2 linked regions of the Caenorhabditis elegans genome follow. The protein of the gene in region 2 purifies or fractionates together with the protein of the main gene of each other region. This does not show direct contact. Each region holds a gene or a part of one and is shown on either strand. Other genes may lie near its edges.

What was found. Proteins that work in one complex are often made in the same cells at the same time.
Region 1: the proteins of rpl-28 (region 2) and rpl-37A fractionate together in Caenorhabditis elegans (co-fractionation; one large-scale study listed by BioGRID). This does not show direct contact.

Annotation. Positions count from the first base shown.
Region 1 is NC_003280.10:14,152,909-14,156,331, forward strand, and holds rpl-37A (Large ribosomal subunit protein eL43), read left to right. Parts: upstream 1-2,385; coding exon 2,386-2,661; downstream 2,662-3,423. Other genes in the region: bop-1 (Ribosome biogenesis protein BOP1 homolog), read right to left, coding at 336-1,026, 1,092-1,243, 1,295-1,465; xrn-2 (5'-3' exoribonuclease 2 homolog), read left to right, coding at 2,879-3,166.
Region 2 is NC_003283.11:12,726,784-12,730,370, forward strand, and holds rpl-28 (Large ribosomal subunit protein eL28), read right to left. Parts: upstream 1,330-3,587; 5' UTR 1,325-1,329; coding exon 1,123-1,324; intron 1,077-1,122; coding exon 898-1,076; 3' UTR 852-897; downstream 1-851. Other genes in the region: R11D1.13 (DUF148 domain-containing protein), read left to right, coding at 429-566, 609-719, 762-800; mrpl-49 (Large ribosomal subunit protein mL49), read left to right, coding at 1,848-1,974, 2,019-2,153, 2,195-2,349, 2,399-2,545; zfyv-19 (FYVE-type domain-containing protein), read left to right, coding at 2,738-2,797, 2,842-2,988, 3,046-3,222, 3,269-3,421.

The sequences.
Region 1 (3,423 bases), on a different chromosome or scaffold from region 2:
TTTCCGGGTTTTCTTTGCAATTGTGTGAAAAACTTTAAAAACCAAATTATAGAATCAAAATGCGGCTTTTTTAGCGAAAAACTGGCCTGCAAGAACTAAAAATTGAGAATTATAGGTTTTTAGAGGGGTTTCTGGTAATTTTAGTGCAAAAGGAAGCGAATTTTTGACAATTTTTGTATGAAAAATTTTATGATTTTCAGAAAAAAAATTTGCAAAAAAGTTGTTTTCTAAAATTTTCGGGCAATGAATTTTTGCAGCAGTCTGGACCAAAAATTGAGTTTTTTTTCCAATTTCAGGGAAAATTATAATAAAATTCAACACTTTTAAACCCTTACAAAAGCAAGAGTAGTCGGGAACGGGCGTAGATCATTAGGATTCGGCAAATCCGGCAATAAATCCGTCGGATCCGCGTGGATTCGCATTTTTCGCTGACGTGGCGCCAGGTACAAGTCCAGACATCGCTCGAATCGCTCGGTGATGAATTTGTCGTATTGTGGAACTTTGCGGAGAGCATCATACTTGGATGGCATGAAGTTGAGCACACGATCCTCTTTTTCAGCTTCTTCCCACTTCTTGCGCTCCTCATCGTCGAAAATGTACTCCTCCGGCGGGTTATAGGACTCGGCGTGCGTCGGCAGAGCCACCTTCGGAGCCGGCATGTGCACACGCATTCTGGAGAGCTGGGACTTTGTCACATTGTCAAGAGCATCCTCAGAAGCCCAGAGATCATAGGATTTGTGCTCTTCCTTCTTGGCTCGCGGCCCCTTAGCCCAGCCCATTTTGATGGCGTGGACCATACGGGACACCATTCGCATTTCATCTTTAGATGGGATAAATCTGGATTTAGGTTCTGGACGATTATCGATTGGATGGATTTCTTTTTGGGAGGAGAAAATGTCGAGGAACGGCTCGTATGGGTTGTAGCCGATTGTTGGGTACTTTCCGGTCGCGATATTGTGGATTTTTTCGATTTGCTCATCGGTAAGCTTCACATCAGTGCCAGTTTGCTTGTCGAACACTTTTCGCCTGAAAAAAATTAAAAAAATTAATATAAAATTACTTTATTTTATTGATTTTAACCACATAATTACCAGTAATCTGGATCTTCCATCTTCTCCAGGAAAGTCTCGATTTCTCCTTTCTTCGCGGGTTTTGCGATTTTCTCTCCAAACTTGTCATATCCAATGTGATCCTCATCATCGTACCATTTAATTGGAATGTTTCCAATCGTGTTTCGCAGATCCTTAAACAAAAAATTATATATTTTATGCTAAAATATGAAAAATAAGCCAACCTCCTCGTCAGAAGAATCATAATCATACTCGTCTGCAGGCTTTGGAGGAACTATCACCGGTTTGATGTCGAGCTTCTCGCCAAACTCGTCTTTCAGCGTTTTTGGCTTCTTTTTCCCATTTTCAAACTTTCGCTTGTTCTTCAGCGGAGTTGCCGCCGACGTTGAAGCCATCTGATGGAAATATATTAATTTAAGTGTTATATTTGAATTATTCATTTGAAAATTGAAGAAAGATTAAGCGAAAGTAAAGAATTATCGATGAAAAAGAGAAAATTAAGAAATTCCATTCGAAAAATTAATTGCGAAAGTTGGGGGACTAGAAAACTCAACGTGCAAGCGCGCTCCATTGAGACACGCGTTGCATCTACCGTAGTGCGTCGCGATTTTAGGCCCAACATTTTTCCGATTTCAATTTCTCTTTCGAACGTTTTTCCTTTTTGCTGCTGAATTTTTCGATTTTTTTTTCATAAAAGTAATATTTTCCATCAGAATTGTTGAATTGTAAGCTTATTTTTGAATATTTGCGAGTAGAACCCTTGATTTACCGCCTATTTGTCGAAATTTTCTCCACTTTTCTGTTTGACGATTTAAAAAAGAATTAGGACTCGAACTGCGTTATCAGTCTACAAATGATCCTTCTGTCGATCTAAATTATCTGAATATTCTGGTTCATGGCTTCAAAACTTCAAATATCCTTAATTTTCTTCTTTTTTTTGCTGCTTTGGCGGTCAGTTGAAAAATAATGTTACTTTTTCTTCTCGTCTTCTTACCGTTTCTACATTTCTTAACTTTGAAGTATGAATATATGTCCTTTACATAGAATTTAGATTGTTGGTAGAAATTCTGCTGGAAATTTCGTATTTTTTCGAAACACTTTCGCACTAGGCTGAATCGGTTAACTTGTTTATTACTTTATTCCTCGTTAACACATTTCACCTTTCTTAATCCTTCTATCTCGCTTCCAAAAATGCAGTTGGCTTTATTGGTTTATATTTTCGATTTTTCAATGCTCCGTCGCTCAAAATTATGTCTATTAATTACTTCTGTTTTTGCAAACCACTCATTTCTTTTTTTCAGGTAATCCAGTCGAAATGGCCAAGAGAACTAAGAAGGTCGGAATCGTCGGAAAGTACGGAACCCGTTATGGTGCTTCCCTCCGTAAGATGGCCAAGAAGCTCGAAGTCGCACAGCACTCCCGCTACACCTGCTCGTTCTGCGGAAAGGAGGCCATGAAGCGAAAGGCCACCGGAATCTGGAACTGTGCCAAGTGCCACAAGGTCGTCGCCGGAGGAGCCTACGTCTACGGAACCGTCACCGCCGCTACCGTCAGATCCACCATCAGAAGACTGAGAGATCTTAAGGAATAATTATCCTTTTGAATGTTGTTAATTTTTCACATATAAATATGTGTTCTACATTCGCCTTTTTGTTTTTTTTTTACTTCTTTTTAATACATATTAATCCCCCGAACGGGGCCTCCGTCATGTTCGAGCTTAACCTCGCTTCATTCGTCTAATACTTTTTCTCCGTTCGTCTCCTTCCGTAAAAGCAATTTGATAATTTAGAGAAAATAAAACTCCGAGAATGGGAGTTCCCGCATTCTTCAGATGGTTGACTAAAAAGTATCCGGCAACCGTGGTGAATGCCAATGAAGATCGTCAGCGAGACCAGGATGGCAACCGGGTCCCCGTAGATTGTACACAGCCCAATCCGAATTTCCAGGAGTTTGATAATCTATACCTGGATATGAACGGTATTATCCATCCGTGCACCCATCCAGAAGACAGGCCGGCTCCGAAGAACGAAGATGAGATGTTCGCGCTCATTTTCGAGTACATCGATCGCATTTATTCGATTGTCAGACCGCGAAGGGTAAGGAAAATCCTCAAAAAATGTGGAAATGGGTCCCAACCACGATCCACGTCGCCTAGGGTCGCTGCTGATGAATTTCCTGAACAAAAAGAGCATTTTCCAGGCGCTAGAAACCAGCGTTTTACCTAGAAAATAGTGAAAAATAGCGATTTTCGCGTGAAGAACTCAATGAAAGGTAGCAAAACCTCAAAAATTCAACATTTTTTAAGCAAAAAGACGCGGAATACTTCAACACTTAACGTTAATAATCATTTTTA
Region 2 (3,587 bases):
ATACAGTAATCTTAAAGGCAGATATTCAAAGCTTTTTAAATCAGTTCACCGCTCGTGTCGAGACCATTACTCTTTAAACTCTTCAAAATCGTAGAAGAGGAAAATAATGGAAAATAACTTCGTTCTTCCAAAAGCAAGTGAATGTGCTTTTCAAAATCTGAACATTTCTAAATACAAAGTTTTGGAAGTGTACTTTTTTACAACCATAATTATATTATAACAAACAGTAATTTTCAGTCAGACACCATTTTCATATTTCTCGATGCTGAAAAATTTGCAACAACTTAGGATAATCCCAAAGAACCGATCCAAATGAGAAAAAATACCATGCCCTATAACCGGTTTCAACTGAACCTAAAATGTCGTGATCGACCTTTCGTCGAATGCATGCCCATTCAACGTTGAGCCGATTTGAGTGCTATTTCAACATGAAATTTTTGATTCTGTCCTTTCTTCTCGTATCAATTTGCTCTGGAGGTGGTGGATTCCCGATTCAAATGTTGACAAAATGTGGAATTTCAAAAGAAACCATTGATGGCGTTCAAAGTGTAATCGACGAACATTCGGTATTTTTAAAACGACTTCTTAGATATTGAAAAATTTTTCAGGCAATGATTAAAATTGCTAACTCGAACAAGCGTGCCAAAAAAACCGAAATCGATTCTTTGAAGGCAGATATTGATTTATATTTAGATGAACATGCATCTGACGACGACAAGGTAGGATTTCTAATCTAAATTTTACATATTTATTTTTTCCAGAAAAGATGGATTGAGTGCTTCACAAAGAACAACTCCTAATTGTCTTGATTTTTCACTTTTTTTTTGAATAAAAAATTTTAACGTGTTGATAAGCTGTAACACTTTATATTCATAACAACAACGTAACAAACGTCATTTATGCGTCAGTCTTTTGGACCTTAGCCTTCTTCACTTGGGAGCGGACGATGGCGGCGGCACGACGTTGAGCGAGCTTGTTGAACTTGTTGAATCCGGCGTTCTTGGCCAAGCGACGGACTGAAGCAACTGGGGTCTTGCTCAAGGTGGAGGTGGTGACGGCCTTGGCTGGTCTTCCCTCTGAGAAAAAACAGTGTAAAAAATAAATTTTTAAAAAATCTCTTACTCTCGTTCTTGGTAGATACAACGACTCCCTTGGCGGCGGCGCTGACGTCGATGGCGTGCTTGTTAGCGAGTCCACTGTATTTTGGGCTGTTCACCTTCTTGAGGTTGAACTTCTCAGTGGAGAATCGCTTTCCGATTCCGCGCTGGGTTCTGAGGAAAGCGCTGTTGTTGCGGATGACTTGCCACACGAGAGCGTCGGACATTTTACCTGGAAATAAATTATTTTATGATGAAAGTTAAATACAATAAGATACAACGGGAAACGTAAGAAAAATTCAATAAAATCAATTGTACACGTAGGTTTTCAAGCAAATTTAAGAATACAATTTTACAAAGTCCTAAATGTCATTTTTCCTGCTCAAACTTTTGACTGAAATGCATAAAAATTCGCTGATAAAAACAAGCAGAATACGCCAAAATAGTTGCAAATTATAAAATTTACAGAATTAATACAAAAAATTCGATATTTTACTCAAAAAAATGGAAAAAAAGAAGAAAAATAAATTAAACTTTCGTTGAGCTGGCCTAAAATCTAATAGCAAGCGCGCTCCATTGCCAAACGGTGTAAACGCGGAGCCTCGTTTGCGTGTAGTTTTTATCGTAAATCGACACAACTTCTTTCAAAATAAATTATTTCTTATGAGTAATTTTCTGCATTCTATTGTTGTGTTTCAATTAATCTTATTTTTAATTTGATTTTATTCAAAATTATATAATTTTATTAAGATGCTGGGTTCTTCTCTCCGCATTTTCTCCCCTCGAGCAGTTTCCAGGTTGTCTTTTTCAACAACTTCAGTCGAAAAAGCTGAGAAACTTTGGGAAAATCCATGGAAACATGCTCTCCCTGAAAAGTGTAAGTTATTTATTATCATATAATTTTTCTACTAGCAATTACAGCCAGAAGTCTTGCAACGGTCGAAGAAGCTCCTATCGATTGGTCGTATGTGGAAAGATTGATGCCAATAGAAGTGGTGCCGAATGTTCCTGAGCACGAAAAGTATCCTACACCAAGCGGATGGACACCACCGACAGGTATATACAGATTAAATTCATACCGCATCGAAATATTTCAGAAGCAGCCAAGACACATCAATACTACATTCGACGTCGTCATGACCATCTTCTTCCTCTTTATTTGGAACGAAAAAGGGATTTACTGAATGAGAAAACGTTGGATTTTGATTATGTCGAGCTAGTAACTATCAGAAACGTCGACGGAGACATTTTTGTAAGTTGGGAACATTATTAAATCCTGAATCAACATAAATATCTTTCAGGCTTGCGAAAATGATCTCCGCTCCTATCTTGAAGAACATCTTGGACATTCGATCGCCAGTCACGTCGATGAGTTGAAAGGTCGTATCAAAATTAAAGGAGCTCCACGTGTTCTTATTGAGCAATTCTTCTACAGCAAAGGATTCTAGATGTATTCTTGATATATCTTTTAGTTTTTTATCTAGGCAGATTTGTTTTGTTGTGAATTTATTGTTGGAGAATGAACTAGAAAAATTCAATTGTCTACTTTATCATTTTTACCTTCAAACCGGTTATTTCACCGTCATTTCCTTATTCTCTTCATTTTGTATCATTGCGAAATGCCGAAATTCTTCTCTAGAATGCCTTCCTCAATTTGTTGCACAAACTGCAGAACTAAATATTCATTATTAAACAGAGAAGTTATTTTCTGGCATCAAAAACTAATTAATTTCTATTTTTTCAGGCCGGCTGCTCGAATTGTGCTCTCTCCTTCTGTAAGAAATGTCTGCCTCATCGTGCAATTATTCCCACACTTTCGGATTTACCAATGATTGTCTGTAACAATTGCTATCAAAAATTGGAATCTGCCAAAATGAAGCCCAGCGCGACTGTAAGAAAAAGAACAAAGTAAAAACTAAATAGATATTAATCCCACGATTTTTTTCAGATAACATCAACGCCTCTACCAGATAATTCGAATAAATCGAATAAAAATTGGTGGGGTGATGGACTTCCACCGCCATCATTCAGGAATTCGCACACAAATCAAAATCAGATTAAAAATAGTGAAGTCAAAGCAACTAAATTCAGGAATTCGCCAGAAATTCCATCGCAGCAGACCAAGGTAATTAGCGTCACGGAATTTTCTTAATTTATTTTTCAGTTTTCAGCCAAATTATCCGACCAATGACCTGGAACAGCGAAGACTTAAACTGCGAGAAGATATTTCACCACAAATTGAACCACTCAGTATATCAGAAATTGAAGAACGATTAGCAAAACTTCGAGAATGTGATGTAGAAGTGATACGTAATCCTCAAAGTGTAAGTTGGACAAGGATGTTTTTAATTAAAAATGTGTCTTAAATATAGAAAATTACTTGATTCATCTGAAAATATAATTTTTTCAGTTGAAAATTTAAAAAAAAGTGTTTAAAATGACCTTAAAGTTACAAATTGCAGATAATCAAATTAAAGAGCTCTGTTTTCG